3 linked regions of the Cricetulus griseus genome follow. The protein of the gene in region 1 purifies or fractionates together with the protein of each later gene. This does not show direct contact. Links are inferred from orthologs where the notes say so. Each region holds a gene or a part of one and is shown on either strand. Other genes may lie near its edges.

Region 1 (7,051 bases):
GATGCATGACTCAAGCTGTTTATAGTATTCTCTCCTTTACTTTTCTAGTTTGTTTCTTTGTGTCTTTACCTTTCAAGACAGGGTTTCTCTGTGTAGCCCTGGACTGCTCCTGAATGCTGGGATTAAAGGCGTGCACCACCATTGCCCAGCTTTCTAGTTATATTTTTTTTTCAAACCTAGATTAAAATAATGTTTTTTAGTATGAAGGGACAGTAATTTTAAAAGATTTTAAAAAATCAACATGTGTCTCTATGAGGTAGAAAATCTATATTGTGAATTGGATGTATTTCTTCTATAAATGGTACCATGATGTGTAAATTGTTTTATAGCCTACATTTTTTCCCTTGTATACTGTTGAGGTTTGTCTCTTTATATTACCGTCAAGAAATGTATTGATTAATTTTGGTTTTTGAGACAAGATCTCCACTATAGCTCAAGCTGGCCTAGAAGTTGTGGCAGTCTTTCTACTGTGCCCTCCTTGTACTGAATAACAGATGGGAGCCACCATGCCCAGCTTAAGAGTTTTATATTTTAAAAATAAAGTTATGCATATTTGTCATAAGCAATTAGATTAGCACAGAAAGGTAAAGTTTAGTGATGAGTACTTGCCTGGCATGATGGCACACACCTGTCATCCTAGCACTCATGTCCTGAAGGCAGGAAGGTCACAAGGACAGGGAGCATCCTAGGTTGCATAGCTTGAGCTGATCCTGTCTACACACCACTCAGGAGGTGGAGACAGGCTGTAATAAGGTGGAGTAGAGACAAGATCTGAGCCCTTTTGGACAGAGGAAGGGGACTGCTAGTTCTCTGATCTTCCAGCTTTTACCCCACTATCTGGCTCCTGGGTTTTATTGATTAAGATTAATTGGATTTACACTTCAGACATATTTATTAATAAAGAATTAAATCTTGCCTGAATATTTAATATTGCAAGACATGGAGCATTTTAAATGTTTTTCATGGTACATTCATTCATTCATTCATTCATTCATTTATTTATTTAAATCAGCAACTCAGATAGTGAGTTTTTTTTTGTTGTTGGCCCTTCCTTTCTTTCTGACAAGGTCTGTATGGCCCATGTTGTCCTGAAAGTCACTGTGTAGCCAAGTCTGACATTGATCTCCTGGTCTTCTTGCCTCCTCCCATGTGCAGATATTATAGGCATGCACTGCCACACTGAGCTCTTCACCATCCTTCTTTTCTGTTTTGGCCAAGCAACAATTTTAAATAATCAAACATTTTAATACAGTATAAGTGAGAGATAAAACTATTTGATACTTGATGCTGAGGAAATTAAATCTTTTTTTTCCCGTAGCTGAATCATGTCTCTATAAAAGCAAACTTTGTAAAAATGTGGAAATTTGGCCAGGCTCACACCTTTAATCCCAGCACTCAGGCGGATCTCTGTGAATTCGAAGCCAGTCTAGTCTACAAAGTGAGTTTCAGGACAGCCAAGGCTACACAGAGAAACCCTGTCTCAAAAAAGCCAAAAAAGGGATATTACAATTCATAACAGGCTTTTGAGGTAGTGTTCCTTAGTGTCGCATGGCATGACAGACTGTAAGTACATTGCAGAGTTGCACATGCTCAAAACCAAGGTTGCAGCAAAGATTCATGATGAGGCCCACAGGCCCTGCCAAAAGCAACCCTGATTTGTTTTGAATTTGATTTTGGATTAATTGTTGGTCACTGCATCTTCAGAAACCCTTCAATATTGCTGAATTCTTCAACAGCCCCACAGTTACATACCTTATGGCACTCTATCCAATATAAGAAGCTATATTCTAGGATACAGAGACTGATTGTTTCTTTCCCCCATGTTGCCTGTCCTTTGCATAGGGGAAGTATTTGAAATTGAGGAGCACATCAGTGAGCGGCAGGCAGAAGTCTTGGCAGAGTTTGAAAGAAGAAAGAGAGCCCGGCAAATCAATGTTTCCACGGATGACTCAGAGGTCAAGGCTTGCCTTCGAGCCTTGGGAGAACCTATCACACTTTTTGGAGAAGGCCCTGCTGAACGAAGAGAAAGGTATCCTTTATAGTTACACTTTTTTTGTTAATGACAAGGTTCTGGTATGTGTTCTATCAAACCCTTTCCTGCTCTCCTGTGAAGTTTGTTTGAAATGCTGGGGGTTTGTTGTTTTCTAAGATGTATTTTTGATTATGTAAATCCGTGTGCATCTGTGTGTAGTATTGTGCACATGAGTTCTGGTACCCTGGGAGTCCAGAAGAGGGTGTCATCCCCTGGAGCTAGAGTTAGAGGCACTTGTGAGCTGCCTGGTGTGGATTCTGGGAACTGAACTTGGGTCCTCTGGAAGAGCAGGAAGCATTCTTTAAAGGATACGTTTTAAAATCCTATTTATTTGTGTGTGTGTGGACATGTACATGCCTTCATACAGGAGTGGAGGTCACAGAACAACTTGTGAGAGTTGGTTCTCTCTCACTATGTGTCACAGTGTTCTGTCTCAAGTCAGCAGGCTTGGCAGTAGGCATTTTACCTGCTGATCCACCTCACCAGCCTGACTCGGTATATTTAATTTACTGTTTGTCTCTTTCATCTGCCATGTCTGTTGTCCTTTATCAAGATGAATGCCTTGAGTCCCAACTGCCACTACTTTAACTCAGGCCACCTCAGTGGCTTGGGCTTGCTGTGATCCTAAAGTCTGGTTTTCTGCCTTTATTCTTCTTCTCCTGCCTGTTGCCATGGCACTCTCACTCTCCCACCTGTTGCCATGACACTCTCACTCTCCCACCTGTTGCCATATCACTCTCATTGCAGACCCTCCTATGTGTAGTGTGAATTGCTCTGGTGACCCAGCCCCCACTTGAATACCAGTTTTGGCAGTCACCAAGCCTCCTCCTGTATCCCATATTCCAGCTCTACTGAACCATTTGTGGGTCTAAGCTCAGTCTGTTTTCCTGACTTTACATTTCTTTAACCCTCTGCCTCAACTGTCATTTTTCTGTTTTGACTCTTTGGCCTGAATGAGCACTTGACAACGCCTTTTCTGTAAAGCCTTCCCTGATACCTGCTCCACACTCCTCCCAAGCCTAGATTCCATACTTCTTCCATATTATTTCACATTCTGCTCACTGCTGTCTAATGCTGGTATAATGGACTGTGTTCTGTAGTCTCTTCAGAATTATTCTTTAGTTTTAGTTTTGTTATTGTTGTTTTCAGTCAGGGACTCACTATATAGCCTTGGCTGGCTGGAGCTCACCACCACACCTGGCTTTTAATTTTTATTTTATTGAAACAGGATCTCAACCTGTGGCACTGACTGGCCTGGAACTCACTTTGTAGACCAGGCTAGCCTAGAACTCAGGACAAGCCACCTACCTCTACCTCCAAATGCTGGGGTTAAAGGTGTGTGCCTTCAAGGCTAGTTCCTTCAGAATTATTTTTCCCCACCTGTTCTTCAAGACAAGATTGTTCTATCTAGCCCTAGCTGTCCTAGAACTCACTCTATAGACCACACTGGCCTGGAACTCAGAGATCCACCTGCCTCTGCCTCTCGAGTGCATCACCATGCACAGCTTGCAACTATTCTTAGTCATTAAATATACTTAGCCCCTGAATTAGTGCCTTGCTCAGCATGGCACTAAGTGGATTCCAGCTGTCCTTAGAGACTAAGTGACAGCTGTGTATAGATACCAGTTGACTCTAAATGGAAGAGAATAATTGCTGATAGCAGCATTTAGAAAGCCTTCAAATAAAGAGGAGTGGAGGGGGTCTGAGAGGGAAGAATAAAGGGTACACAGCCTTCCCCTTTGCTTGTGGTCTTGCTTTTTTCCTTGGTTTCTCTCATCCATAATCATATGAGGCCCCGAAATACTGACTAGGCAAATGCCAGAAGTAAACACTTGATGAATTTTAAATTGCACACCATTCTGAGTGATGTACTGAAATCCCACACCATCCAGCTGTGTCCCTTTGTCTTCTGTGTCCTTGCTGTCTATGCTGCCTTTCCATTAGTGTGCAGTAGAATAAGATATTTTGAGAGTGAGAAAGAAAACAGACCCTGTTCATATAATTTTAAAAATCTGGTTTTTTGTTACTAGCATTTTACCTTGCCTAATTTATGAATTAAACTTTATCATAATATGTGAGCTGGGAAAGACACACAGTATAGGTAAGGTTCATTGCTCCCTGCAGTTGTAGGCATTCTTGTGCAGGGATCTTGACACATCTCTCTCACAAGTGGTGATGGGGTCCTACTGAACCTTTTAACAGTCTTATTTCATCCATATTGATTTCTGACGTTTTTTTGTTACAGGTTAAGAAATATTCTCTCAGTGGTTGGAACTGATGCCTTAAAAAAGACAAAAAAAGATGATGAGAAATCTAAGAAGTCAAAAGAAGAGGTAAAATGTGAAGAAATTGGAGACTAGCTCTTTCCAGTGCCATGCTGTGCTAGGATGAGGAGAGGTATCTAGAGGTTCTGCCATTCTGGAATGGTTGATGGCAGGAATTGGTAATTCTTAAACAACTGTGAATGGTGCTGTAAATTCTCCATTCAAGAAGGCACTCAATGTGACTCAGTAAGAAACCAGAAACTAGTAAGACATCAAAGAAAAAAGTAGGGGCTGCAGAGATTGCTCTGCCCTTAAGAGTGTGCACTGCTCTTCAAGAGTCCAGCAGCCCACCACTGCTAAGCAATCTGATGCCATCTTCTGGCCTCCATGGCGTCTTCGTGCATATGTACATACCCCCACATAGACACATAACACATAGTTAAATAAATGTTTTTAAAGAAAACAAAAGGTAATTAATAGAAAGGACATGTGGCTGCTTCATTCTGTTACAATTCACTTTCTTTGTGAGCAATTACAATTAAGAACAGCCGTGGGGAGAGTCTGTGTGCTTCAGACCTAACATTTCTCCTGTTATTTCCTATTCAGTATCAGCAAACCTGGTACCATGAAGGGCCAAATAGCCTAAAGGTGGCCAGACTGTGGATTGCTAATTATTCACTCCCCAGGTAAGCAGAGGTCCAGAAGAAAGAAGTCTGTCGTTTCAGGGACTGGGGATAGACTCTATGATGGTGGTGTTTATTGTATGTGATTTAGAAGTAGTGTACAGACCCTTGTTGATAGCTCCTTAATGATGATGTTTATGGGTCACAGGGCAATGAAACGCTTGGAGGAGGCCCGTCTCCATAAGGAGATTCCTGAGACAACCAGAACCTCCCAGATGCAAGAGCTGCATAAATCTCTCCGGGTAAGATGCTCTTCACTGTTGTCCAGTCTCTTACGTTATTAGAGATTCTGTTTTGGCCCCACCCATAGGAAGGTAAAGGCAGTTACCCACATGCTACCTGGTAGGTCAGTGATGTAGGAGGAAGGCACTGTCAGCTGTGGTGACAAGAACATTCAGTGTTTGTGCTCACAGAGACAAATGTTTCTTTGGCTCTTGACTGCTCCCTTTTAGTAGGTCAAGCTGTGCTTTGCTTTTCTCTGGTTTTTTGTGTTTAGCTCACATAAAAGCTAATGAGGTACACTGACAGTGGTGGTGCACAACTTTAATCCCAGCACTCAGGAGGCAGAGGCAGGTGGATCTCTGTGAGATTGAGTCTAGCCTGGTTTACAGAGTGAGTTCCAGGACATCCAGGGCTACACAGAAACCCTAGGGCTTGTGGAGGTGATGAGGCTATGATAAACAAGTAACATTCCAGATAAGCCTTGATTCCATTCTTCAATAACATTAGTATCAACTAATATCAGCAAAGCATGAAGAAGTTTTGAGGTGAATTAAACTGACAGGTATAACTGCTGCCCCCTCCTTTTCACTCCCATCCCCTTCAGCCCCCATATTTTCCCAAAAGTGGAAAAGCCAAAAAATCTTAGATTAGCCTTTTAAATGATCACTTTTTTGTTGTTTTTGTTTTTTAGTCTTTGAATAATTTCTGCAGTCAGATTGGAGATGATCGGCCAATCTCCTATTGTCACTTTAGTCCCAATTCTAAAATGCTAGCCACAGCTTGTTGGTAAGTTTCATTTTACAATAACGTTTTCCTAAATTGTGCATGGGTTCAGAAAGAAAAATTGTCTTTGTCTCAGAGATCTTTCCCTCTATCCTCTTCTTCTGCTTCTCATGAGGCAGATGTCATGGCTCTACCTACTTGTACGCTTTGATGGAGCTGTTTGGCAGTTCTTACTACTCACAAAGGTCTCCAGAGATCCATGATATGTAGTGTCTATCATGTTCTTCCACTGGAGCTTTGGAATTTAATAAGCCCAGAATATATTTTCATGCCTTAGACCAGCTTTGCTTTCTTAGTTCTATGGTCTCGCTGAGGTAGGCCACCTACCTCTGTGCCTTTATCTGTATGGTTGGGACAGCAGCTAACATTTGCCGTGCATTTGGTAAGAACTTGGTAAATGTTATTAGTCTTATCTTTGTTTTGTACATATTAACACATATACGGGAAACTCTCAGGATATGTGTTCACTTTGGTTTTGGGGTGCTGGGGTGTGTGTAATTGTGTGTGGGTTTGTGTGTATGTGTTTATGTGGGCACGTGTGCATGTGCAGTTCAGTATGGAAATGCACATGGAGGCCAGAGGCCAATATTAGATGTCTACTTTCCCCAATTGCTCTCCACATTATTTTGAAACAGGGTCTCTTACTGAATTATCACTTCACCTAGACTGACTGGCCCGTGAGCCCCAGGGATCTGCCTGTCCCTGGGCTGGGGATATGGACATTATATACTGAACTTGTACATGAGTGCTGGGAACCTGGGTTCAAGTCCTCTTGTGTTCATAGCAAGCACTTTATTGAGCATGTGAGCCAATTCTTGAATCCTGTTTCATTTTATTTTTACTTTGTTCTGGATCATGGCTATCTAAGAAAGAGGAAACTTAACATTGACTACAGGGGAATTGCTTCAGTAGGCAGAAAGTGAAGCTTTGGTTCAGGAGAAAGCTAAAGGCTAAAGTATTTGGTAGGTGACAAAAAAATGCTTGGATTTCAGGTCCTGCCATTATTGACCCAATTTAGTTTTTCTCCTTCCCTTACAAATTGTCCTGTACATTAAGAATAGCAGCTT
Region 2 (7,646 bases), on another chromosome or scaffold:
TAGGCTTCATAATAAGCTGTCTGAAGGCAGGAAAAACAGGACCCATCTTGATTCAAGCCACCACCTAGAGTCTGCTTGCCCTCTAAAACAAACCCTGCAACCTATAGCAACTTTCTTCACCTGTGAGGCAAGCAGTAAACAGCAACAGGGACTGTCTTTCCTACATGAGACAGGTTGAGATCCTGGACCTGATCTCTCTCTTCACCCCTCTCTGACCCTGTAGGAGTTAAGATCATCTTCCGAGTGGCTCTGGTCTTGCTGCGACACACGTTGGGTTCTGTGGAAAAGCTGCGCTCCTGTCAAGGCATGTATGAAACCATGGAGCAGCTTCGAAACCTACCACAACAGTGTATGCAGGAGGACTTCCTGGTGCATGAGGTAGGCCTTGAGCCTCAGCACACCTTGATCCACTTCAGCCCATGCTCAAATCCATCTATACTCTGGCTCCCGTGTCTTCTGTCTAGGTAACCAACCTCCCAGTGACAGAAGCATTGATTGAGAGGGAGAATGCAACCCAGCTAAAGAAGTGGCGGGAAACTAGGGGAGAGCTGCAGTATCGGCCCTCACGGCGACTACATGGCTCCCGAGCTATCCATGAGGAGCGCAGGCGGCAGCAGCCACCCCTGGGCCCGTCCTCCAGCCTTCTCAGCCTCCCTAGTCTTAAGAGCAGAGGCCCTCGGGCAGCTGGAAGCGCTCCTTCCCCACCACCTCCTGTTCGCAGGGCTAGTGCTGGCCCTGTTGTCCCTGGAGCTGTAGTCACTGCTGAGGGACTGCATCCATCCCTTCCTTCACCTACTGGCAACAGCACCCCACTAGGCACCAGCAAGGAGACCCGGAGACAGGAGAAAGAGCGGCAGAAACAGGAGAAAGAGCGAGAGAAGGAGCGGCAGAGACAGGAGAAGGAACGGCAAAAATGGGAAAAAGAGCAAGAGAAGGAGCAGCAGAAGCAGGAGAAGGAGCGACAGAAGCAGGAGAAAAAGGGCCAAGGCCGGAAACTTTCCTTGCGTCGAAAGGCAGATGGGCCTCCAGCACCCCATGATGGCGAGGACAGGTCAGCTGCTGAAGCCCGGCAAGATGCTTACTTCTGACCTCTTGCTGGGTCTAGATGACATGGCCCTCTTCCTTTTCCCTCAGTCAGGAGCAGGCCTGGCAGGGGTATTCTTCCCAGCTCCCTTGGCAGGCTTCCCTTTTCTGAGGAAAGTGGCTTGATTCCCCTGACTCCTTGCCAGCTGCTGATCCCTACATGGCCAGGACAGCCACAGTGCATGGGACAGCTGTATTTCCTAGGGTAGCAGTGACCAAGTCTGGAGACTCTTTTGTCCAATTAGGCCCAGCTTGGGTCTCTGTCACTCCTACGAATTCCTTCTGGGGTGCTGTCTTAATTTGCCTTTTGTCACAGGGTGACTCTTGGCAATGGCAGTTAGCAGTTACAGATTCTTACACTCCAGTGGGCTTCCCTTAGATGGTGGAGCTAGGTTCCTTTTCTTGTCTTGGGGCCCTGCCTGTCACCCCACTGTCTTTCTGGGGGCCAAGGCTGTTTTTTTCTCTCCTGGATATCCTTGTGTTGTAATTATGTACAGAAGGTCAGGTTGGCCTGGGTGGGGTGCTCTGTTCTGTGTTTCACAGTGCTCCTGTACTCCAGTTTATTTAAGGGGACATGCAAGGAAATGCCCTCCATTTCCTTCCCATCTATGTCCTGCTCTCCCTCCTAACACACTTGCTTTGTATGCTCAGGCCTCTCTGCTGCCTCATCAGGAAGCCTGTCTTTCATTTTGTTCCTTTCCAGCCATCAAGCCCCTCTCTGAGTAAGGGTCTTCCCTTGAGTCCGGGGGGTGGAACCCAATGTTTACATTCTCTTCTGTCATGGTCCCATCCCAGTGGTGGTTTTTTGGCGCTTTGAGGAACCAGAAAAAGAACCTGCTGTTATATCTGGATCTGTCTCCTGCCTTGTTATTTAAAGAGGGCTTTGGGGTAAGGGAGTGGGAAGGGGGCAGGAAGAAAGTCTTAAGTCCCAATAGGTGCAGTCTGCTGATCTTGGCAGGTATATCCAGACCCTTGCTACATCTCTCATCAACAAGCATAGTGGTCCAGCTCCTGCTGCAGCTTTGCTTGGGGCCTCCTGGGACCCTCTGCACAGCTCAGAGTACTGAGAACATTCCAACTTGCTTGTGTACTCCTAGAAGCTAAAGGGAGGCTAAGCAGGGCTGTAAAGCCAGTCTTCAGATTGAGCTACTTGGTCAGCAGCTTGGTGCAGTTCCTGGTACTGGGCTTCTAGGGTGGACTGGCTGCCTTCAGTTCATCTCAGCAGGTGCACACAATCAATCATCCAGTTCTTGTTTTCTATGGCTAGCTTGTAGCCCCCCAGCCCTCCCCCTTGCTTTCTCCCCAGGGATCAGGATAGTAAAGGCATGGGGTTTGTGGTCCTAAGGTGGAGCTCCTCATGGCAGTTCAGCAGGATGAGGCTCAGGGGTGTGTGGTCTCCAGGTAGAAGAGGAAGTTCCCTCTGGGATGCACCATAGTGCCCAGAGCTGGTGTTTCAGGCATTCTGTAGCAAGATGCCCTCCTGGGCTAGGACCTGTGTTCTGTGCCCGTGGAAGAAACTGAGGACACAATTCCAAGTTTCATGGTGATTCAGAATGGAGAAAATCCTGCAAGAGAAAGGTGTGGTCCATCTGGCCGCCCTCATCCAGCTCTTGCAGGATCACCTGAGCTATCTAGCCTGGGGGGGAGGTGTTCTGGCTTTGAGTTGTTCTCAAGAGCTCCAGATCTAGACTTCACTAGACAGGAAGATCTCACCTGGCTCCACCTCTGCAGGAGCGGGATTCCATCACCTTAGCATTTTGCTGAGGGGTGGGGTAGACTTCACCTTGCAACTGGATGTACCCCAGAGTAGGGCATTATGGGCTTCTGGCTGGGTACTGCTCGGATGCCAATGCTACTTCCTGTTATAGTTCCCCTGCAGAAAGAAGGAATTGAATGGGAACAGACATGGGGCTGGGTCCTAAAAGGAGCTAGATTTGGAAAGTGCCTAAGTATTGACAGCCAGAAACAGGACTCAGGAAAAGCAAGAATTTTTTTTTTTTTTTTTAAAGAGACATCTCACGTTGTATCCCCGATTGGCCTCAATCTCGCGACAATCAGTCCTGCTTATTTCCCGAGCGCTGGGACTGTGTCAAGCTTGGAAAGCAGGGTTTCTATTGAATTCCGTTGGGCGCAAAGAGCCCTATATAGAGAGTCAGACTGGAGCCCACAGCTTCTGCTCGGCCTTTGTCCCTCCATCCAGGACTTGGGAACCTCTTTTTTTTTTTGGTTTTTGAGGCAAGGTTTCTCTTTGTGACTTTGGAGGCTGTCCTGGAACTAGCTCTGTAGACCAGGCTGGTTTCGAACTCACAGAGATCTGCCTGCCTCTGTCTCCCGAGTGCTGGGATTAAAGGCGTGCGCCACCACCGCCCGGCCTTCAGCACCTCTTTAAGCAGACAGAGCGTCACGTCCTCACCTGAGTCTCCATTTCAGAGGAATAACAAACACTTGCCGCCATCCTCAAGCTAAGTAAGGCTGGGGCTGGTATAGGAGTTCACGCGAGTCTTTTGGGGTCTTACGTCACTTCCTGCGGAGACTGTCTTGACCAAATGTACACATCCGCCCGTTCCGACAGTCTTTTGGATGGGAGTGAAGCAGCTTCCGGCCTTATGGAGGTCTCCACAGTCTCCTTCCGGGTTATGGAGGCGAGTGCCCCGGATGTAATACTGGCGAAAGCATCTTTCCTTTCTTTCCCCGCCTGACCCCGGGCTCCTCGGTGAGCGCCAGCCGGTAAGACTGTTCGAATCCCTGCGAATTTGCTTCCTCTCTAATTTGTGCGCCGACTCTGACATGGTCTAGCAGCTCGCTGCGTGGAACTGGGGGTCCTAAGCAACCAGGGCGCCAGCTCTTGGGTCCGACCGGCCTCTGTGGGCACTCGGGTGGGAGCTGGGGGAGCCCTGTAGCTCCGCACTGGTAGGGGAGTGGTGACGTAGGGGAGCCTGGCTTTTTTTCCTGCGTGGGAGTACGCACAGGGTCCGCGCGGGGGCGGAGATCCGCCCGTCAGGGCCTCTGAATGAATTGCCAAACCAATTCCCGACGACCCGCCTGCTAGCGCTTGAGATGGTTCAGTGACCCTTCCTCGCTCAAACGGGACCTGGCGCTTACCAAGGAAAATGTGGTGCCACAGCGCTCTCGCGGCCGGCTCTCCTTACCTAATTTTCTTACTCCGTATCCTTTTCCGAGGTCCAGCTGGAGGAAGTGTTCTGCCAGTCATGCCAAAGAGGAAAGTGACTTTTCAAGGTGTGGGAGATGAGGATGATGAAGATGAAATCAGTGTCCCCAAAAAGAAGGTGAGATGGTCAGACTCCTAATGTCTGTGGAGGACTGAGGAGAAATAAAAGGAAGGAAAGCTGAGAAGCGAAAGAAAGGGTTAGTTTGCCCCGGTGCGCTGGGTTTGGTAGGTTTTCAGTTTGGATACAGATCCTGGAATATTTGGGAAGCTCGCCAGTAGGTTGCCTTTCTCATTTGCTGGTTTCTACTCACAGCTGGTGGACCCTGTGGCTGGAGCAGGGGGTCCTGGGAGCCGCTTCAAAGGCAAACACTCTTTAGACAGTGATGAGGAGGATGATGATGATGAAGGGTCCAGCAAGTATGATATCCTGGCCTCAGAGGATGTAGAAGGTGAGTTATTCCCAAAACATTAGCTGTGTTGGAGGGCAAGTCTGATTATGGAGGTGGGAAGTGTGCCTGTCTCTTTTTTGCATGCCTAGCATGGGGCCCCCATGTCTTTGGTGCAGGTCAGGAAGCAGCTACTCTCCCTAGTGAGGGGGGTGTGAGGATCACACCCTTCAACCTGCAGGAAGAGATGGAGGAAGGCCACTTTGATGCTGATGGCAACTACTTCCTGAACCAGGATGCACAGATCCGAGACAGCTGGCTGGACAACATTGACTGGGTGTGGCCCAGGAGCTGTCCTGGCTGAGGCCTGGGAATGCAGGTGCTGGGCCTGGGCCCTGGTGGAAGTTTGTAGGAAATAATAATTATCTTTCCCTTATAGGTGAAGATCAAGGAGCGGCCACCTGATAAGCACCAGGTTTCAGACTCAGAGGAGGAAGACAGCCTGGGTCAGACTCCGATGAGTGCCCAAGCCCTCCTGGAGGGACTTTTGGAGCTGCTGTTGCCAAGAGAGACAGTGGCTGGGGCACTTAGGCGTTTGGGGGCCCGAGGAGGAGGCAAAGGGGACAGCAAGGGGACTGGACGGCCCAATTCCCCACAGCGCCTAGACCGGCTCTCTGGGTTGGCTGATCAAATGGTGGCTCGAGGCAACCTTGGTGTATACCAGGAAACAAGGGAACGATTGGCTATGTGTCTGAAGGGTTTGGGGTGTCGGACTCAGGGATCCCATGACCCCACACCTCCACCCTCCCTGGACATGTTTGCTGACGAAGTGACAGAGGGAGAACTGGAAACCCCGACCCCTGCGCATAAAGGAGGTAAGCTTTTAGGACACAGGAGAGGCAATGCCAGTGGGAGACTGGGCACTTAAGGCCGATACGTCTTTGTTGTCTTAGAAGCAGAGTCAGCGGGAGATGGTCTAATGGATGTGATGTGGGAATATAAGTGGGAGAACACGGGGGATGCTGAGCTGTATGGACCATTCACCAGTGCCCAGATGCAGGTCAGTGGCTTCCTCCTGTCTTGTCTGTCCATCCCGACTTCTGTCATCTTTCCTAAGTTTTGTCCTCTCTTCTTACAGACCTGGGTGACTGAAGGCTACTTCCCGGATGGTGTTTATTGCCGGAAGCTGGACCCTCCAGGTGGTCAGTTCTACAATTCCAAGCGCATTGATTTTGATCTCTACACGTGAACCTGCTAAGGGCCCAGTGTGGTAGCCCCTTTTTCTTGGACTTGGCAGAGGAGGCCCCAGCTGCCCTGGGCAGTGAGGATCTTGGAAGCTACTCTTCAGCCACTTTCCCTTTCCCAATAAAAGCCTTGAGTGTGCATCAGGGCCTTGATGTGCTGGTAGCCAGAAGCCAGGGCTCCTCCGTAGCTCCTGTTGGCTTACCTGGCCCTTGAGTGTCTCCTCCTTCCTTAGATGCTTCTCTCTGGTGTCTTGGACCACCTCGGTTTGTTTTCCGCCCTTGGTGGCAGTAGTAGGGCCCGTCAGGTGTCCTGTGACTTGCCATGTCAAATTCCCTTCAATCACTCTATTCTCCTATCTCCCCTGCAAGTCCTTGTTTTGCTGATCTTCAGCTTTTAGGACCTCAGATTCTCTGGCCTAGTAACCCCTTTGCAGCTGGGACATTTGGAAAAGTTTGAGATCCTATTGAGAACACTCAGGAGGCCTCTTAAACATGGGTTCTCCTCTTCTCCCTAGTCTGATTTTTCCTTCCCTTGCAGTAGCTCCCATAGCTCTTAGGTGAAGCATGAACTTAGTAGCTCTTCAAAGCTACTTGGGCCACCATGCATTATACAGGCACAGAGATGGGCAGTGACTTCCTGGAGGTCACACAGTAAATTAGAGAGCTGGCCCAGAACCAGTGAGCTGCTTCCCCTGACCTTTCTTGGCATAAAGCCTTTTCTTCCTTGGCCATTCAGGCCCTGCAGCTTAACATTTCCCAGGCTCCCACATCTCTGGCATAGGGATGGTGCCTTGAGGGAACATTGCTGGACTGGTCTTCCAGGAGCCCCAAGTGCAGTGGCAGACAGACACGTAAAAGCAGTGCCTCACTCGTACCAGTGCTGCCCTGCGCCCATGCCACCTGCACATGACGGGTACCCTGTGCCAGGCTAGGAACTTACATAGGGGCCCTGGCTTGGTTGGGGGTGTTTGATCAGACACCTTCAACCCAGTTTATTGCCAGCCGAGACCACAGTTTCTTTGACTTTGAGAAGCCTTTTAGTGGTAAGACATTTACTTAATGTTAGTTGTAAGGTGGTATTGGATGGACTTGCTTTCAGAAATACTTAGAAGTGAAAAGTTGGTGTCTAGAGATGAGTGAAATCCAGTCATGTCCGTAGCCTGGGTGAGTGTTCACAATGTTTGGTGAGACAGACACGGAGGACTTCCCCGAGGTGTTCTTTGGGTTCCTCAGATTTGACCCATCTAGAGCTGATCCCCCCCCCCACACACACTTTCTGAGTGTACCTTACTGAGGACATCCAGGAGGGGGCAGAATATCAGTCCCTGAACCCCAGACCCTATGAATATTACTTTATGCTTTATGTGGCACAGGAAAGCACATTGCGCAGATGTCGTGAAGTTGAGATTTTTTTTTTCTTTTTTTAATTTTTTGAGATGGGGTCTCACTGTGATCCCTGACTGGCCTCAAACTTCCAGGAGGTTGGGATTAAAGGTGTAAGCCACAAAGCTGAGCAAAATTGAGAATTTTTGAAACTGGGAGATTACCTTTGATTGTTGGGTTGAGACCATTGTAATCACTGGGTTATGCTGGAAAAGGAACTGAGACTCCCAGCACGAGAGCACAGGACTCCATCTGAAAGATGGAAGAGAGGAGTGTGTGTCAGGGCTGCATGTAGCCAGACAAGTGCAGTGCAACAGTGATAACCCAGTGAAATCAACTTTGGACTTGTAACCTCTAGACTTATGAGCTAATAAATCTGTG
Region 3 (7,845 bases), on another chromosome or scaffold:
AGTGAGCTCCAGATCAGCCTGGATTACATAGGACCCTGACTCAAGTAGGGTAGGCATTCTAATACATGCCCATAACTCAAGTATTGGAGAAGCAGAGTCTAGGCTGGCCAGGGCTATATATACAGCAAGACCATTTCAAAAAGCCAGAACAAATCTGCAGAATATCCAGAGGCTTTCATCTTTCTCCAGGCTCTATCCGACTTCCTAAGGCTGCCAAGACGCCACTGAAAATTCACCCTCCGGTGCGGCTGCCCTTGGCAACTATCGTCAAAGATCTGGGTATGGGATGGAAACCACACTTGATCCAGGGTGGGTTGAAGGTGGAGAAACAGTTTGGGTGGTGTCAGGCTGCTAGCCGTTTTACTATCCAAGAGCCATTTCTTCCCCTGAGTTTTCCTTTCCCCCTGAGTCCAAACTGTGTGTGTGTGTGTGTATGTATTCTTTTTTTTCCTTTTTGGTGGTGGTGTTTTCGATCAAAACCCAGAACTCATATTCTGGGCAAGTGTTTTACTATTGAGGCCCATTTTTGGCATAGCAGTGACTTTTCATAAGTATTTTATGATCTGGAAACATAATCAAATGTTGTTTTTGAAATATGTGTTAAGTAGCTTGTAGGCCTTTTCCTCCATTACTACTGGTCTGATGACCAAGGGAAATTGCTGGGCCAGGGTAAAGAGGGAAGAAAGAATGGTAAGGAAAACTGTACAGGCAAGAGAAGGTGTGAACGTTTTCTATTCCTCCCCCCCTTCACTGTTAGTGGCCCAGGCACCTCTGAAACCAAAAACACCTCGGGGCACCAAGACACCAATCAACAGGAACCAGCTGACCCAGAACCGAGGCCTGGGGGGCATTATGGTGAAACGTTCTTATGAAACTGTGAGTTGGGAAAGCTGAATGGGGTGGGCTTTTGTTTCTGATAGGAGTCTGAGGGAGGCAGCGCTTTCATTATGTTGCCCTATCCTTTTCCAGATGGCAGGGGCAGGGGTCCCCTTCTCTGCCAATGGAAGGCCTCTGGCCTCAGGGATTCGTTCAAGCTCACAGCCAGCAGCCAAGCGTCAGAAACTAAACCCTGCTGATGCTCCCAATCCTGTGGTATTTGTGGCTACAAAAGATACCAGGTAGGGAGCAGTCTACTATGGGAGGGGCTCAGAGACTGATAATCCAAGTTGGGTGCATTGGAAGTAGGGGTATCTGAGAAAGATAGCACAGAAAAGAGTGCGGGTGTCAAAATTGTAGAGTGTACTGTGGAGCCCCTACTTGTTCCTCTTTTGCTCTTTTTGACCAGGGCTTTAAGGAAGGCTCTAACTCACCTGGAAATGCGCCGAGCTGCCCGAAGGCCCAACCTACCCTTGAAGGTGAAGCCAACACTGATGGCAGTTCGGCCCCCAGTTCCTCTGCCAGCACCCTCACATCCTGCCAGCACCAATGAGCCCATTGTTCTGGAGGATTGAGCATCTTAGGGGAGGGAGATGGGATGAGAGGTAGAGGGGTAGGTGCCCAAGGCATACAAACCTCAAGGATCGAGGGAGGGTTGAAACTGGTGTGTCCTTGGAGGACTTGGACACCCTCTGGGGTGATTGCCAGTAACTCCCCCTTTTTGGGCTTCTCCATGCCTGTGATGGGAGCCTACAGGAACTTGCCTGTGTGTCTACCTACCCTATTTGGGGGTTGGGACCCACAGTTGTTTTGGACAGCTGGGCTGGGGGGGGGGAGGGTTTTTTAAATTTTTTAAAAATTTTACCTCCCTTTGTAAAAGGGATGGAGGAGGGGAAGAGTAAACATGTCAGGTGGTGGTACCTGGCAGGGGGAAGGGAGAGTGCACTGCCATGTCTACCTTTTTTTTTTTCTCTTTATTTTCTAATTGGGGGTTTCTCTTACTGTCCGGTGTCCGGACTTTGCTAATTAGTTTGAGGGCTCTAAGGTGGCATCCAACCCCAGCCCATGCTCGCTCTTTCTTCCCTCCCCTTCCCCCCTCTGCCTTTTATATGCCAATTCTCAGAAATAAAGATCTTTTTGTCCGTTTTTTAACCTCGATTCTGTAATTGGTTCTTATAGTGAAGAATAAAAAGCTGTTTTCTTCAGCCCTCAGGCTCAGCTGTTCTCTGCTGCTGCTGCTGCTGCTGCGCGCGTGCGGTGTGTGGTGTGTGGTGTGTGCGGTGTGTGGTGTGTGCGGTGTGTGGTGTGTGCGGTGTGTGGTGTGTGCGGTGTGTGGTGTGTGTGGTGTGTGGTGTGTGTGTTGGGGGTGTCTTTGAGAGGGAAAATAGAGGACAAAAGACAATGAAAGAGGTACAGATGGCGCTTGTTCTAGGAGCAGCGTTATGAGACATGCAGCCGGGCTGTGGGGTGGTTTGTGCCACTATCCTTGTGGGACTCGGGCTTCTCCCACTGGGGCTGGAGTCCAAGCAGCATCTTGGTCTAGATTCATTCAGAGCTCTTTAATGGCTTTGACTCTGCACAGATGGGGGTTAGAATGTCTTCCTGTTAGCCACTTTTACTCTCCCTCCTTTTTGGTGCTGAGAAATTGATCCCAGGGTCTGGCGTATGCTACTCACGTGCTCTACTATTGCCACCACCTACATCCTCAGCCCTTCACTTTCATTTAAGCATTCTAGCAGCCAGGGTCAGATGCATCTCACCAGGTGGGGGTGGTTGACACATACCTTTAATCTCAGCACTTGGGAGTCAGAGGCAGGCAGATCTCTTAAATTCAAGGCCAATTTGATCTACAGTAGAAGGAGTTCCAGGAGAGCCAGGGCTACACAAAGAAGCCCTGTCTTGAAAACAAAGATGCATTTCACTTTAGTGTTTGTGGGTGTGGTACTGCAGTACTTTACAGTTCAAGCTTAGTGGTATATATATACAGACTGCTGGATTTGTACAGCTAGTGTTAGCACCTACCCCCACTGTTGAGTGTGCAGTAGTACTGTTTTCTGTTTTGATTTCATCTGCTTTTTTGGTTTGGTGTAAGGATCAGATACCTGAGCAGGGTACAATAGGAGGGACACCTTAGAACAGTTGGTTAGTTCAACCAATTCTCCTTAGGCACTTTAGAGATAGAAGGGCCTCATGGCTCAGCCAAGGCCACAGACTGGTTTCCTGATAATCACAGAACAAGCTGGTGAACCCACCTGATAGCCTTTCCATTTCATTATCGTCACTGTGGTCAGCTCTCATATCCTCTCTTGTTCCTGAACCTACGAGACTGACTCATGTGCCTGACTGGGGATCTGTAGCACTTCCCCTCCCACCTCCTTGAATAAATGTGTATCTCTTAGCACTGTAGTCTGTTCTTCATTGTACTGCCTTGAAATAGGCCTCGTTAATATACTTCATTAAGGCTACAACTGCTGAGCAGACTTTGACTGGGATAGTAGCCATCTGCTGTTGGTCTCATTGAGTCCAAGTGAAAGGGAGTAGGGGGCGGACAGCGCTGAAAACTGTTTTGTCGAGGATCCAGTTGTACAGAAAGGAACTGACCTGAGGATGTGGGAGTACCTGAGCTCCACAAGGCAAAGGATTGGAAACACCCACCCTCCGCTTCTACTCGCAGGGTGAAATAAAAGATTGAGGTGCAGGTCTGGGGTGAAGTGAAGGCAGATCGCATGCCACCACTTGGCAAAGAAAGAGCTGTGCTGTCAAGAAGCAAGCCCATCTTTGTGGCTGCTTAATGAATATTCACAATTCTTCGGGCCAATCAACGCTGGAATGGAACGGAGCATGCCAACTAGTTAACCCTAGACCAATAAGCGTCGTCGGTGGGCGGCCTTTCTTAAAACTGACTTAATAGGAACCCTTAACCCTAAGAACACGGTTTCTGGACGAATATGCTGGCGCCGGACACAAGCGTCACTTCCTGCAGCACTGGCGGAAGTGGCTTCCCCACACATTGCGATTTTGAGCTGTGAGTTCTGGTAGTGACTGGTGGCGGGAGAGGTTGTAGGCGGCCCATACCGGAGAATCGCTATGGAGGCGGAGGATTCGGATGTCGTATCGCTGCCTCGTGGTCGCTTTCGCTGCTGTCTCTGCGACATTACTACAGCCAACCGTAAGCGGTGGCTAGTGAGGGAAGGGGGAGGTTGCAGGCTTTCACTTTTTAGGTGCTAGTGAAAGAGTTATTTAGGTTATAGTTTTTGCTGGCACTAGGGTCATCCACCTCTGTTTTCACTCAGTACGTCCCAGGGCATTCGGAGAGTGGGGAAATTCTCACCGGTTCTTCTCACAATGCAAAAGCTCCATAGTGAAACTTTCACTATTCCTTTTAAAACATCACCTTTGTGATGTTTTAAACATCACATGTTTTAAAACATCAGCTCTGTGCCTGGTGCTTTACTGGTCTCTGGAATCAGGAAGGGAGGGATTCAGGAATTCACTGTCTGCACTGAGACAGTTTCAGTACACCATGGGTATGTTTACAGAGCTGAAGCATCACAGAGAAGGCAGTAGTTCAATTGGAGACTCCCAATGGGGAGGATTTCTCCAGAGGCGAGGATGAGTGAAACATGGTGGCCTGAGTGAATGCAGAAGGTGCCAGTGAGGAAAAGGGTTTGGAAAGACAGACTGAGATTTTGTGACACCAAAAGACACTTAGTGACATCTCAGATCCTACTTTTGATGTCTAGAATGTGATCTCCCCTAAACAGGGTCTTCTGGTATTTTCTTTGTGAATGACATTTCCCCTTCTCCCCTCCCCCTGCCCCATCAGGGCAAGCCAGGAATTTAGGACAGTGCCTTGTCCCTGTACTTTCATGGCACTAAGCAGCTGATGATAAAATAATACTAATAGCTAATTTCCCACACTTACTACATACCAGATGGCCAGAGCTGTTTGTGAATGATACCTATGTGGTAGGCGAGATCATTTCCATCATATATGGGAAAAGGATACATTTGGAATACCTGCTATTTATCTCTGAGGATTAGTCAGGGCCCTAATTTATTTACTTCTACATATGACCTTGGACAAGTTGCTTGTTAATTCCTCTACAGTGGGCAGATGTCGCTCTGCTTAACACATACCATTGGCTTAAGAACTACCTGCACTGCAGCCCTCCCTCTTGGAAATCTCTTAGAGAATGCACTGTGTGGACAAAGGGGAAGAATATCAAACTCTGTCCAAATGTTACCCTTTGTCTTTGAAGGAACAGGGTTTCTATGTATAGAGAAGAGAGCAAGGGGACAGGTATACAAAGAGTTACTTTATATGCTTATGTCACACGCACACTTGTCTCTACAGGACCCAGCCTAGATGCCCACTTGAAAGGCCGGAAACACCGGGATCTTGTACAACTACGAGCTACCAGAAGGGCCCAGGGACTTCGAAGTGTGTTTGTCAGTGGCTTTCCCAGGGATGTGGGTGCTGCTCAGCTTTCGGAGTATTTCCAGACTTTTGGCCCTGTGGCCAATGTTGTCATGGACAAGGACAAGGTAGAGTGAGTGTCTTTGGGATTAATTTGTCAGATGGATTTGCCTTATATAAAAGAGAGAAACCAGCAGCCTGTTTTGGCAGTTTCCTAATGTGGCTCATCCTTGGTAGACATTTCAGAACTTGGAATAGCTTAGTTTTGGGAGCTTCTGCCACCTTGGATTTAATCCATTCACAAGAGTTAATTATGGAGGACTTGTTTACCAAACATTGTGTCTTTTTTGTTTGTTTTTTTCGAGACAGGGTTTCTCTGTATTGCTTTGGAACCTGTCCTAGAACTCGCTCTGTAGACCAGGCTGACCTGGGATTCACAGAGATACACCTGCCTCTGCCTCTTGAGTGCTGGAGTTAAAGGCTTGGCCAAGGCTCGTGGGGGCTGGAGAGATGGCTCAGCGGTTAAGAGCACTGACTGCTCTTCCAGAGGTCCTGAGTTAAATTCCCAGCAACCACATGGTGGCTCACAACCACCTTGAATGAGATCTGGTACCCCCTGTTGGCATGCGGGCAGAAGACTGTATACTAAATAAAAAAAAAAAATAGTAAAAAAAAAAAGGCTTGGCCAAGGCTCTTGACCTATTGCCTGCTAACTGCCATCCCTCCCCCCCCCCTTTTTTTTTTTTCCTTCAGTTCTAGGGGATTGCACATGGGACTTTTGAATGCTAGGAAAGTGGCCTCTGTCTATCTCCAAACCATCCTCATAGCCTTTATCAATCACTTCTTGTGTACTGGTGAGACAACTGCAATTGTGTGTATATGATATGACATAAAAGTCCACATTGTTTTGCTTATGACTGTCCAGTTGTCCTAGCATCATTTATCTATAAGCCCGCTCTTTCCTCACTATTATGTTGAAAAGTAGTTGACTATATGTACACAGTGTTCTGCCTGCGTGTATGTCTGCATGCCAAAAGAGGGCACCAGATCTCATTGTGAGCTACCATGTGGTTGCTGGGAATTGAATTCAGGACCTCTGTAAGAGCAGCCAGTGCTCTTAACCTCTCGGCCATCTCTCCAGCCTGGCACTATTTTCTTAATTACTTTATAGACTGCCTTTTTATAGGAACAGATGATATAAAAGGACATGCACTTTTACCCATAAGCACTCATGTTTGCCTTGCTCCTGCTAATGTTTTACCTTAAAAAAAAAATTATCTCACTGGCAGTTGTGGCACAGGCCTTTAATCCCAGCACTCGGGAGGCAGAGGCAGGCCTGGTCTGCAAAGCTACACAGAAAAACCCTGTCTCAAAAAAAAAAAAAAATTTAATTCAGCTCTGTTCAGCTCATCCAAATCATAATAGCCTTAGCTGTCATATTGTTGCTAATTCTAGATGGTAAGTTCCTTGAAGACAGGCTTTATTAGAGTTTATTAGCAGTAGCAGAGTTTTTACAAAATTTGTTATAGTTTGGTGCTAAGGCTTTTATCTAAGGCTTCCTACACAGTAGACAACTTCTGTACCAGTGAGCTGCATTCTGAGCCAACATGGATTCTAAAAAAAAAAAAAAAAAAAAAAAAAAAAAAAAAAAAAAAAAAAAAAAATATATATATATATATATATATATATATGGTTTTTCGAGACAGGGTTTCTCTGTGTAGCTTCGGAGCCTATCCTGGCACTCGCTCTGGAGATCAGGCTGGCCTTGAACTCAGATATCCGCCTGCCTCTGCCTCCCAAGTGCTGGGATTAAAGGCATGCGCCACCAATGCCCGGCAAAATTTTTATGTGTGCACAAAATTTTTTATTTTATGCATGGCCCATGGTGCACATGTGGGAATCAGAGGACAGTGTGTAGGAGTCTGTCCTGTGCTCAGGGGACTGAACTCATGTGGTCAGGTTTGGTGGCAAGCACCTTACCCCAGCATGGATCTTTTTTTTTCTTAAGGTTTTCTGTATGGTTATGTATATATGTTGAGTACAGGTGCCTGCTGAGGCCAGCAGAGGGCACTGGATTGTATGAATCTGCAGCTGGTTGGTTTCAGACTGTCTGATGTCGGTGTTGGGAACTGAATTCCAGGTCCTCTGCAAGAGCAGCAGTGCTCTTAACCACTGATCCATCTCTCCAGAATTCCACATATGGACCCCCCCTGCCATGGATTCTTATTGTTAAAAGAGCTAGAGCTGGGCAGTGGTGGCTGCCCCGGAATTTGCTCTGAAGACCAGGCTGGCCTCGAACTTACAGATATCCGCCTGCCTCTGCCTCCCAAGTGCTGGGATTAAAGGTGTACACCACCAATGCCTGGCAACAGATGAGATTTTAACTGGCAGCCAGGAATAAAAATGTATGGGATAAGAGTGGAGATTACTCATCTAAGTATATTACAAAAACCTTTTACAAAAACAGCAAGTAATACTTCCAGTATATTGGTTGTTTCCCATTTTAAAGATTCTCCTCTACTGTCAATTACCAAACCATGATCCTTGCT

Evidence for each region.
Region 2: the proteins of Prpf4 (region 1) and Cd2bp2 purify together in Homo sapiens (affinity purification with mass spectrometry; 3 studies listed by BioGRID and IntAct, with this or other methods). This does not show direct contact. The link is inferred for Cricetulus griseus from reciprocal best matches to the Homo sapiens genes PRPF4 and CD2BP2.
Region 3: the proteins of Prpf4 (region 1) and Tut1 purify together in Homo sapiens (co-immunoprecipitation; 3 studies listed by BioGRID and IntAct, counting the BioPlex papers as one, with this or other methods). This does not show direct contact. The link is inferred for Cricetulus griseus from reciprocal best matches to the Homo sapiens genes PRPF4 and TUT1.

What each region holds. Positions count from the first base shown.
Region 1 is NC_048595.1:83,454,557-83,461,607, reverse strand, and holds part of Prpf4 (U4/U6 small nuclear ribonucleoprotein Prp4), read left to right. Parts: intron 1-1,842; coding exon 1,843-2,029; intron 2,030-4,277; coding exon 4,278-4,365; intron 4,366-4,902; coding exon 4,903-4,982; intron 4,983-5,127; coding exon 5,128-5,221; intron 5,222-5,892; coding exon 5,893-5,987; intron 5,988-7,051. UniProt on the Homo sapiens protein: Plays a role in pre-mRNA splicing as component of the U4/U6-U5 tri-snRNP complex that is involved in spliceosome assembly, and as component of the precatalytic spliceosome (spliceosome B complex).
Region 2 is NC_048596.1:73,575,981-73,583,626, forward strand, and holds the start of Cd2bp2 (CD2 antigen cytoplasmic tail-binding protein 2), read left to right. Parts: upstream 1-3,655; 5' UTR 3,656-3,810; intron 3,811-4,263; exon of another isoform or gene 4,264-4,269; 5' UTR 4,270-4,292; coding exon 4,293-4,370; intron 4,371-4,565; coding exon 4,566-4,701; intron 4,702-4,817; coding exon 4,818-4,975; intron 4,976-5,077; coding exon 5,078-5,513; intron 5,514-5,591; coding exon 5,592-5,698; intron 5,699-5,776; coding exon 5,777-5,887; 3' UTR 5,888-7,646. Other genes in the region: Tbc1d10b (TBC1 domain family member 10B), read left to right, coding at 224-378, 465-1,088. UniProt on the Homo sapiens protein: Involved in pre-mRNA splicing as component of the U5 snRNP complex that is involved in spliceosome assembly.
Region 3 is NC_048596.1:51,139,588-51,147,432, reverse strand, and holds the start of Tut1 (speckle targeted PIP5K1A-regulated poly(A) polymerase), read left to right. Parts: upstream 1-3,854; 5' UTR 3,855-3,963; coding exon 3,964-4,045; intron 4,046-5,233; coding exon 5,234-5,424; intron 5,425-7,845. Other genes in the region: metastasis-associated protein MTA2, read left to right, coding at 190-279, 758-876, 970-1,118, 1,286-1,451. UniProt on the Homo sapiens protein: Poly(A) polymerase that creates the 3'-poly(A) tail of specific pre-mRNAs. Localizes to nuclear speckles together with PIP5K1A and mediates polyadenylation of a select set of mRNAs, such as HMOX1.